Canis lupus familiaris: one gene and its partners. The protein of the gene in region 1 purifies or fractionates together with the protein of each later gene. This does not show direct contact. Links are inferred from orthologs where the notes say so. Each region holds a gene or a part of one and is shown in the gene's direction. Other genes may lie near its edges.

Region 1 (3,653 bases):
CGCCCTGGCGGCCAGTGGGCAGTGCAGGCGGGGAGAAGGCAGGCTTCGGGGAGGCCGCAGACAGCAGCGGGACCTCCACGTGGGGTGGGGTGTTCTCCTGCAAGGCTGGAGGGGACAGCCAGGAGCAGACGCTCTGGGAGCTGGCGTAGAAAGGGGATCTCATGATCCTGGTCACGGGACGAGCACTGAGAGTACTCTGAAAGATGAGGGCGTGGGGCTGCGAGGTGATCCTGTCACCTGGGCACCCGTCTGCGTTGTCACCTTGGGGGTTCTGATGGGGTTGGGCCTGCTGAGGTGCCCTCCTCTGGGGGGTCCTGCGCTCCTCCTCAGCTCTGTGTCAGCGCTGCAGGTGTTCTAGCGCGGGCGCTTCGGTCTCCGCCTCTTCCCAGAGCGTGGTCCCGGGTGCCTGATGGGCGCAGGGTAGCGAAGACAGGTGGCTTTGGGAGGACTGCGAGCCCAGGGCTTTCATGTCCTCTCTGGGACTCCAGCTGTGCTTTGGGCCCTGTCCTCGTGTTTCAAGATTGTGCCTTTCTCTTCCCGAAGGCTCCCTCAGGCTCTCTCAGGCTCCCTCAGGCCTATTGTGATTTGTATCCGAGTCCGCACAGGAGCGGGTTTGCGGCTTGCGGGGTCCTGCTTCCCCCGCATGGCACGTGGGAGCGTGCGAGGACCGGTCATGTTTATAAGAGGGCTCTTGGGGAGCACGTGCGTCTGTCGCTCTCTCTCTTGAGGATGAGGTGAGGAAGCCTGAGGCCGGGTGGTGGTGAGACAGCCTGTGGTCAGGGTCACGGGAGGCCAGGGCCCCACGCCGGAGCCTCCGAGCTCCCGCGCTCTGGGGTGTATGGGTCTCGTCGGATAGCTGGCGAGCGGCCTCTCTGCAGCCACAAGTGCATCTTTAGAATTTCCAGAGCAGCTAGTGTGAAACAGGCTCCTGGTGGGAACTGCTTTGCTCTTATGAAGGAAGAAGTGGAATTTGGGACGTTGGTATTTACGTGAACAGGGCTTATTCCAGAAGGGAGTCGAGCATGGCTCGCGTGCGGCTCGATGCCGTCATTGTTAGTGGCAGCGAGTGTTTGTGTTTGTGCGTTAGCTTGTGGTGTGGGGTCGGCCCAGGGTGCGGCCGGGCGCAGAGGTGCAGCCGTGGGGCTCGCCAGGCCCAGGGTTGGCAGCCCACGTGGTGCCCGGCTGGCGGCGGTGCTTCGTGCCCCGCGCACCTCCCCAGTACTCCCGTGAGCTGTCTGGGCCGAACGCAGAGGTGCAGGGTAGGCGCAGGGAGAGGAGGCCCCTGCAGGCACATCTTTGCCTTTGTGTCTGGTGAGGCGCAGGCGGGTGCGTGGGGACGGAGGGCTCCCTTGCGCCCTGCTGGCCCTCGTGGCCACCCCCGTGTTGGTGACGCCCACCTGGCCAGGGCAGAGGTGGGGGCAGGACCGCTGGTGCGGGGTCAGGGTGGGAGCCTGGCGTGAGGCCCAGGAGAGAGGCCAGAGGTGAGCCGGGGCGCTCGCTGGGGGAGGGCCCGCGGTGATTCCTCCGTGCTGGCCGCAGGTGCTGCCTGGGAGGACACGGGGCCCGAGCATGCAGAGCCCTGCCTGGCGTTGGCCACTGTGTCCGCAGCTCGGATGCCCGGGGACCCGCTGGGGGGGTGCACAGAGGGGCTCGGGTCCTGCTGTGACCTGCTGAGTCCGAGCAGGGCCCCTCGGGCAGGTTCCTCAGGACGTGGTTCTGAGACGGGAGGGGGCACAGCAGCTGTAGCTTTCCGCTTTCAGAACAACCGGAGTTACGGTACTGCCTGCTTTTGGGGCAATTTGCAGCTTTAATGAGAAGTGTGCGTAGAGAGGACGGGTACCCTCTCGGATCACGTAAACCGCTCGTCCTGGCTTGATCTCCCGCGTGTCGCAGCCCAAGCAGAGGCCTGTCCGGGGGCTGCGCCGCTGCCCGCTTGGTGCCTGGGGGCCGGCCTCCTCCCCGGCCCTGGGGTAAAGCCCTGCTCGTGGCTCTTCAGACTTCTTGTTTTGATATGAATGGTTTTAAGAAGCTTTTTAAATTACGAGGCAAAGGTAGTTTTCCAAAGACTGTTTTTATTTTTAAAGTCAGATTTAGGAAAAAGAACGTACTTTATGGGCGTTCAGAGCGTGGCGTGGAGGGTAGCCGGTCTGGGGCCTGGAAGGGAGGTTTTCCTGGTCCCGTGAGGGTCGCGCCTCAGGCGGGCACAGCCTGGTCAGAGGAGTGATTTACGTGCTCGTGTCCCCTGCTTGCTGACCACGTGGCCCAGGTCAGGAGCGCGTGGGGTGCCCGTTAACCTCCTGGTTATGTGAGACGTGTCTCTTACTCAAGGTAAGTGAAGTGTCGACTGTAGAGATGCTCCTAAAGTCGAATGATGTGCTAGTTTTGGCGTATGTGGAGGGAATCCTCAACAGCCGTTGGCAGGGTAACGTGATACACGTGCACACCTGGAGCCCGGGCACCAGGCCACCCCGTCTTCGGTGTTAGGGCAGCGCACACAGTGTAGCCTGACGGCCCGCTGCGGCCTCTCACTGCTTGCAGACAGTATGTGTGATGCTTTGTTTCCTTAATTGAATTAGTGTTTTGGTGGACTTCACATTTATAGTAAGTTTTATAATAGATTTTATAATTATCAGTTTTCAAAAATCACTTTATTTATAATTTTTTCAGGAGATAAATCTCCCCCTAAACTTGAACCATCAGATGCATTACCTCTTCCTTCAAACTCGGAGACTAATTCAGAACCACCAACCCTCAAACCAGTAGAACTCAACCCAGAGCAGAGTAAACTATTCAAAAGAGTCACATTTGATAATGAATCACATAGCACTTGCACTCAGAGCGCACTGGTAATCGGACACCCTCCAGAGCCCACCCTCGCCAGTAGTGGCGATGCGCCGGCGGCGGCGGCCTCCGCGGTGGCGGAGCCAGCAAGCGATGTAAACAGACGCACTTCTGTTCTCTTCTGCAAATCGAAAAGTGTAAGCCCCCCAAAGTCTGCCAAGAACACTGAAACCCAGCCAACTTCTCCTCAGCTAGGGACCAAAACCTTTTTGTCTGTAGTCCTTCCGAGGTTGGAGACTCTTCTGCAGCCAAGAAAAAGGTCGCGGAGCACCTGCGGCGACTCTGAGGTGGAGGAGGGGTCCCCGGGAAAGCGCCTGGACACAGGTAAATGCCACGGAACGCCGCGTTCTCTCTTCCAGGGGTGTTGGTGGAGCCGCCGGGCAGTGCCCCCCGCCGCTGCAGTGCACGGTGGACCGTCCAGGGGCCGCGGTGGCCTGCCTGTGGAGGTGGCGCCATCGCGGGGGGACGGGGGCCCGGTGGGGTTGTGTCGCGCCCGCCGTGTGTCCCAGGACATACACAGGGGTCTGTCTGGGGCCGCGGCACCACTTTGGGCTGTAATCAGAGGGCGTTGTGACGTCCCCTCGCCGTCCTGTGGGGCTGTGGCCGTGTGTAGTGGGGTGACTTCCTGAGTGGCTGAGCGCACCGCCGGGCTTTTGTCCTTGTGCCCGGTTCATTTGCTGGAGGCTCCCGTTCACGTGTCGTGGCGCTCGCCCCCCGCGGCTTGCGGGAGGCGGCCTGTTGGCCTCCGGGTGACAGCCGAGGAGGCAAGTGCCCGCTAGGTGGCACCATGGTTCGGCCCCCTGGTTGTGCCT
Region 2 (2,675 bases), on another chromosome or scaffold:
AGCAGCTATCCCAGGATCCCTGGGTGGCTCAGCAGTTTGGCGCCTGCCTTCGGCCCAGGGTGTGATCTTGGAGTCCCCAGATCAAGCCCCACGTCAGGCTCCCTGCATGGAGCCTGCTTCTCCCTCTGCCTGTGTCTCTGCCTCTCTCTCTGTGTGTCTCTCATGAATAAATAAATAAAATCTTTTAAAAATAGGGGATCCCTGGGTGGCGCAGCGGTTTGGCGCCTGCCTTTGGTCCAGGGCGCGATCCTGGAGACCCGGGATCGAATCCCGCGTCGGGCTCCCGGTGCATGGAGGCTGCTTCTCCCTCTGCCTGTGTCTCTGCCTCTCTCTCTCTCTCTCTCTCTCTCTCTCTGTGACTATCATAAATAAATAAAAATTAAAAAAAATATGTTTAAAAAAAAAAAAAGAAAAATAAAATAAAATCAGCTATCAGGCCTATGAAGTGCCATGATTCTCAGTTTTTCTTCTCCCTAGGTATCGAAAACCTTCCCTTCGAACTGCAGAGAAACTTTCAGCTCATGAGGGACCTGGACCAAAGAACAGAGGGTATGTATAGAGTAGGGATTTTGAGTGTATAATGAGATTGTACGATCACTTCTTTTTCTCTTTGATGTTACTGTATCATCTGGTCTGAACTGGGGAACTGTGGCTCCTCTTTTTTTACTCTCTTATATTCTTAAAAGGAGAACGGTGAAGATTTGCACTTCTAGATCAGCTTTTCCATAATAAGTAGAGTATTGTGATGATGCCTCAAGAATTCAAGGATGCTATGTTCTTTGTATCTGCGAGAGGAATTAAAAAAGAAGTCAACTCTAGAATCATTTCTATTCTCTATATTCAATATATCTATAGGAAGACTGGGATGTTTCTACCCCACTGGATTGTTAATGTTACTATAAAAAAAATTCAGTGTGGAAAAAAAAAAATTCAGTGTGGCTGTAGACCACAAGTCATGTTGGTAGAGAAGCTCTTAAGAAAGAAAGAGAGAAAAAAAAAAAAAAAAAAGAAAGAAAGAAAGAGAGAAAGAAAAAACGAAGAAAAAGTAGCAATTAACAACAGGATCTCTACACTGTATTCTTCAACCTTATAGAAGCACTAGATACCATCTGTGGCCTTCCTTGGATGTTGAGCAAATCTGGCTGCGTTGAGGCATTCACTTAGAGCCTAAGACTACACTACAGTGGTCAGATTGGTCTCTTCAGGGGCAAAGATATCATCTTTTGGAGCCGTCCCCCATACCTGCTAAAGGATATCTATATATAAGACCTATGTCTTATCTTCCGTCCTTATGTAGCCATGCTTAAGGATATGACAGGCTGGTGTTATAATACCTAAAGCTGTGATTTCAGCTACTCTGGGTAAGTTTACTCATGAAAAGGTGAACATCATGGAAAATCCTGGGTCTAGACCCCCGAGAACTGCCTGCTGAATGCTGAGAACCAGCTTGCTTCCTTTGTATAACACAGTCCCTACTCTTGAGTTCATGCATAGGAAGACCGGTTGGGAGATTATTGAACTACATGCATTTTCAGCTTCCTCCCAAGGCATCACATGAAACGGGACACAAATATAGTGTGTACACAGAGCCTTCTGGTTGTCTGTCATGGCACCTTGTTATAGTCCTTCTTTGGCCTCTTTTCATCAACATTTTTTATGAGTCCTACCAAATAGGAGGCAGTAGACATCTACAGCCTCAGTGTCTGGGGACGTCGCCAGCCTTCCGCTATTAAAATGTTTGGAGCAACATCTAAGATGAACAAACAGGAAAAGAAAGTGATGGGAAATACAAGCAGGTTGCAGACGATGAGCAAAATAGGGTAGAAGAACTGTTACATAAATGAACTAGGGCCTAGTTTTAAACGATGAGTCACAGATGTACAGACCTGGAAGGCAGCAGCAGCAACAGATGACCCAGCCAGCTTTGCCGCACTCAGAGCTGCCACAGAATGTTTTTGAGACAAGAAATCAGGAAGCCTGTTAGACAAGACTCATGGTTCAAGAAGCAGCAAGCCCTGCGAAGAAGCATCCTCAGACATAACAAAAATAGCCTTCGGATTAGTGCAACGGGCAGAGACCCCCTCCGTGGTTTTCAGGAATTTTAGTTCCAACTCTGATAGCAATGTTTTCAGCACCTGGAGGCACCTCTAAAACAAATACTGTCAATGTGTTGCGTTTCTTGAGTAAGTGGCACAGTACCTGTGAACTCTCGGGGCGTTTTGGTTCGAAGGTTATGATGATGGTCAATGGCAAAGGTCCAAGAAACAAGAGGAAGAAGTGTGTTTCACCTAGCCACTCCGGGGCCTTTGTGACCAGGCCTCTGTCTCTGTTGTAGACCTGAAGGCTGAAATTGACAAGTTGGCCACTGAGTATATGAGTAGCGCCCGCAGCCTGAGCTCCGAGGAAAAATTGGCTCTTCTCAAACAGATCCAGGAAGCCTATGGCAAATGCAAGGAATTTGGTGACGACAAGGTGCAGCTTGCCATGCAGACCTATGAGATGGTATGGCCCTGTTCATGGCTCCCCACCTACCTCCTGTCTAATCCTCGGGGTCCTAGAACCCTCCTTCAGCTGTGTTGGGATCTGTTCTGGGTCTGGGAGAGACACAGAGTATGCCTTAGCCTTATTTTCTTTTTCTGGAACCAGCTGTGTACCTCTTTCTTTTCCTTCCTTTG
Region 3 (3,653 bases), on another chromosome or scaffold:
GCTCCCTGCATGGAGCCTGCTTCTCCCTCTGCCTGTGTCTCTGCTTCTCTCTCTCTCTCTCTGTCTCTCTGTCTCTCATGAATAAATAAATAAAATCTTCTTTAAAAAGAAAACGATTTTATTTTTAAGTAATCTTTATACCTCACGTGAGGTTTGAATAACTATGAGATTGAGAGTCACATGCTCCACCAGCTGAGCCAACCAGGTTGCCCGTGTGTGTGTGTGTGTGTGTGTGTGTGTAGGGGGTTGGTTTTGGTTTTTGTTTTTTAGCATGTAGAAGGAAGATAATGTCTAACCTGGAGACAGCTTTTCTCTGCTTTTTTTAAAATCAAGAGCAGGGGAGATTCAGCATTTTTTAAATTTATTTATTTATTTATTTATTTATTTATTTATTTATAAAAATTTTTAAAAAAGATTTAGATAGAGATGTGTATTCTGTTTACTCTGGCTCTCTTCCTCAAAACCAGTGGGCAAATATGTCGTAATTCATGTTACAATTAAGTAAACAAACAATTTTTTACTTTTTTTTTCAGGTTGAGACTGAGCTAAAGTTAATCTGTTGTGACATTCTGGATGTACTGGACAAACACCTCATTCCAGCAGCTAACACTGGCGAGTCCAAGGTTTTCTATTATAAAATGTAGGTTCTATACTAGAAGGGAAAATGTCAGATTAAATGTTAGCCCCCTTAGAATTATCACTTTTTTTTTGAATTATCACTTTTTTGTGTAGGTGTTCAACTTTTATTTAAGAATAATTGTTTAATGTTTAAAGGATAGTTATATGGGAGGAATGATTTTCAAAACTTAGAGTGCTCATTTGCATATTCACTGCTAATGAACAGTTATTGTTGCATTTAAGATGCTCAGACTATTTACTATAAGAGTACTAGGTTTTACCTCTTTTCATTTGTTTTTGTGTGGAGTTAACCCATCAACTGTTGCAATACATTACATAGTTCAGTTTTAATGTTTTATGTAGAAGTTTTATTTCACAATTAACTGTCATGCCATTTTTTGGAACCACTTTTTTATGTTTAATTCTAGTTGGCAATAAATTTATTGATTTTTTTTTTTTAGAGGCTTTTCAATTAATTTCTCTAAGATTTTGCTTATATTTAGTATTCTGAACTCTGAGAAGGAAAACTGAATAGTCTTTCCTGATAGAGTGAAGTTATTGAAGTATACATGCTGATTATTAAAATAATTTTTGTTACATTTCATTTTATAGATTATAGAAAAATTTTAACAGTTTACTTTCATTTAAAAAGCATTCTTCCTAATTCTATTTGTTTTATTTTGTTTTGTTTTAGGAAAGGGGACTACCACAGGTATCTGGCTGAATTTGCCACAGGAAATGACAGGAAGGAGGCTGCAGAGAACAGCCTAGTGGCTTATAAAGCTGCTAGTGATATTGCAATGACAGAACTTCCACCAACGCATCCAATTCGCTTAGGTCTTGCTCTCAACTTTTCTGTATTCTACTATGAAATTCTTAATTCCCCCGACCGTGCCTGCAGGTAAGTCATGGAAGAGAAACAAAAGTTCTCACTGGGAAAGTGAAAAACATTACAAGAGAGAATTATTTGTCTTATTTCCTGGGATTGCCTTTGTGGCCTTGGACATGTAAGAATTCTTTTGGCTTTTAATGAAACTTCTTTGGATTATTTTAAGACCGACTCTATCTCTGTTCACTAGGATAGCAGTTTTAGATTATGTTGATGGGGACAATTTTGGTTGGTAGGTTGAAATTTTAACTTGTTAGTGGGAGGGTGGAATTATTATTATTATTTTTTTTTTTAAGATTTTATTTGTTAATGAGAGACACAGGCAGAGAGAGAAGCAGGCTCCATGCAGGGAGCTTGAGGTGGGACTCCATCCCAGGACCCCAGGATCACACCCTGGACCGAAGGCAGGCATTCAACCGCTGAGCCACCTAGGTGTCCCAGAGGGTGGATTTAGAATAGAATTATTCTTTTTTTTTTAATTTTATTTATTTATGATAGTCACACAGAGAGAGAGAGAGAGGCAGAGACACAGGCAGAGGGAGAAGCAGGCTCCATGCACCGGGAGCCTGACGTGGGATTCAATCCCGGATCTCCAGGATCGCGCCCTGGGCCAAAGGCAGGCGCTAAACCACTGCGCCACCCAGGGATCCCTATTTTCTTTTTTTTATATATGAGCTTTTAGTCATTTGTAGGTATGTTAACATAGTTAGGCTCTTAGTGTACATATTTTGTATTTTCTATTCTAATATGAATAGTTTTCCATCTTTCTATGTTAATAATTCCCTCATATGTATTTTAGATTGTTGCCAATATTTGATACAGATAGAAATTTAAGGGCTACCTCTATGTACATGGCTTTTTCTTGTAAAAGTTATTGCAAAATATAACAGTTTATCACTCTAACCATTTTTTAAAGATTTATTATTATTATTATTTTAATTTTAAGGATTTTATTTATTTGAGAGGGAGGGAGAGCATGAGCAGAGAGAGGGAGGGAGACTCCCTGCAGGGCTCGATCCCAGGACCCTAAAATCATGACCTCAGCCAACAGCAGATGGTCAATGGACTGAGCCACCCAGCCACCCAAAAGATTTATTTATTTTAGAGATAATGAGTGAGTGGGGGTGGGGTGCAAAGAGAATCTCCAGCAGACTCCCTGCTGGGCTCAGAGCTGATGCAGAACTTGGTCCTATGACACTGAGATCATAACCTGAGTTGAAATCAAGAATCAGATTCTTCATGACTGAGCCACTCAGGCGCCCCTCATTCTTCTAACCATTTTTAAGTTGTATAATTGAATGGCATTAAATACACCTGCAATATTGTGTAACTGTCACCACTAAGTTATTTCCAAAACTTTTTAATCACCTGAAACAAACACTAACTGGTACCGGGTCATTGTCCAGATTCGCCCACCCTTGACCCCAGTTATTTCTACCTTTTCTCTTTGTGAATTTGCCTATTTTAGGTACTTCATATAATTGGTATAATGTATTTGTTGTTTATAGTTTACAGTCTTCAGTATGTAGGGATCAGATACTCGATGAAAGGGAGAGATTGTCCTTTTGTGAGGTGGATTCATTTGAATGCAGACCATTATTTATTCATCTAAAAACATTCTAAGGGCACCTGGGTGGCTCAGTGGTTGAGCGTCTGCCTTTGGCTCAGGTTGTGATCCCAGGGTCCTGGGGTGGAGTCCCACATTCGGCTCCCATGGGAAGCCTGCTTCTCCCTCTGCCTGTGTCTCTGCCTCTCTCTGTCTCTCATGAATTAATAAAATCTTTAAAAATAAATACTTAAAAATAAAAACATTCTAAATGCCTCGTCGAGTTTAAACAGGTACAGGTCTCAGCTGAAGAAGTTATAGCTATCTCTGTTCAGCTAATAGTATTGGTTGGGTCTTTCATTGTCATTCTCCAGTCTGCTTGTCCCACATATCACTTGGAGTTAAGTCTTCTCCATGCCTTTATTTTTATGCATTTGCTTTAATCTTAAGTGTGCATTCATTCTTTTCCCTACCCTTTAAGATGAGTTTATATTTGATTTTTCCTTTTTCTTGTCCTCTAGGGTTTCTGAAGTACTTTCTCCAGAGAAGCACTTCATACTTGTTTTATAATGGTTTTATATGTCAGTCCTCTATTTTCTA

Evidence for each region.
Region 2: the proteins of BRD1 (region 1) and ING4 purify together in Homo sapiens (affinity purification with mass spectrometry; 5 studies listed by BioGRID and IntAct, with this or other methods). This does not show direct contact. The link is inferred for Canis lupus familiaris from reciprocal best matches to the Homo sapiens genes BRD1 and ING4.
Region 3: the proteins of BRD1 (region 1) and YWHAE purify together in Homo sapiens (affinity purification with mass spectrometry; 3 studies listed by BioGRID and IntAct, with this or other methods). This does not show direct contact. The link is inferred for Canis lupus familiaris from reciprocal best matches to the Homo sapiens genes BRD1 and YWHAE.

The regions. Positions count from the first base shown.
Region 1 is NC_049231.1:18,292,277-18,295,929, forward strand, and holds part of BRD1 (bromodomain-containing protein 1), read left to right. Parts: intron 1-2,667; coding exon 2,668-3,165; intron 3,166-3,653. UniProt on the Homo sapiens protein: Scaffold subunit of various histone acetyltransferase (HAT) complexes, such as the MOZ/MORF and HBO1 complexes, that acts as a regulator of hematopoiesis.
Region 2 is NC_049248.1:7,718,003-7,720,677, reverse strand, and holds part of ING4 (inhibitor of growth protein 4), read left to right. Parts: intron 1-477; coding exon 478-549; intron 550-2,199; exon of another isoform or gene 2,200-2,335; coding exon 2,336-2,502; intron 2,503-2,675.
Region 3 is NC_049230.1:45,482,873-45,486,525, reverse strand, and holds part of YWHAE (14-3-3 protein epsilon), read left to right. Parts: intron 1-533; coding exon 534-640; intron 641-1,312; coding exon 1,313-1,519; intron 1,520-3,653. UniProt on the Homo sapiens protein: Adapter protein implicated in the regulation of a large spectrum of both general and specialized signaling pathways. Binds to a large number of partners, usually by recognition of a phosphoserine or phosphothreonine motif.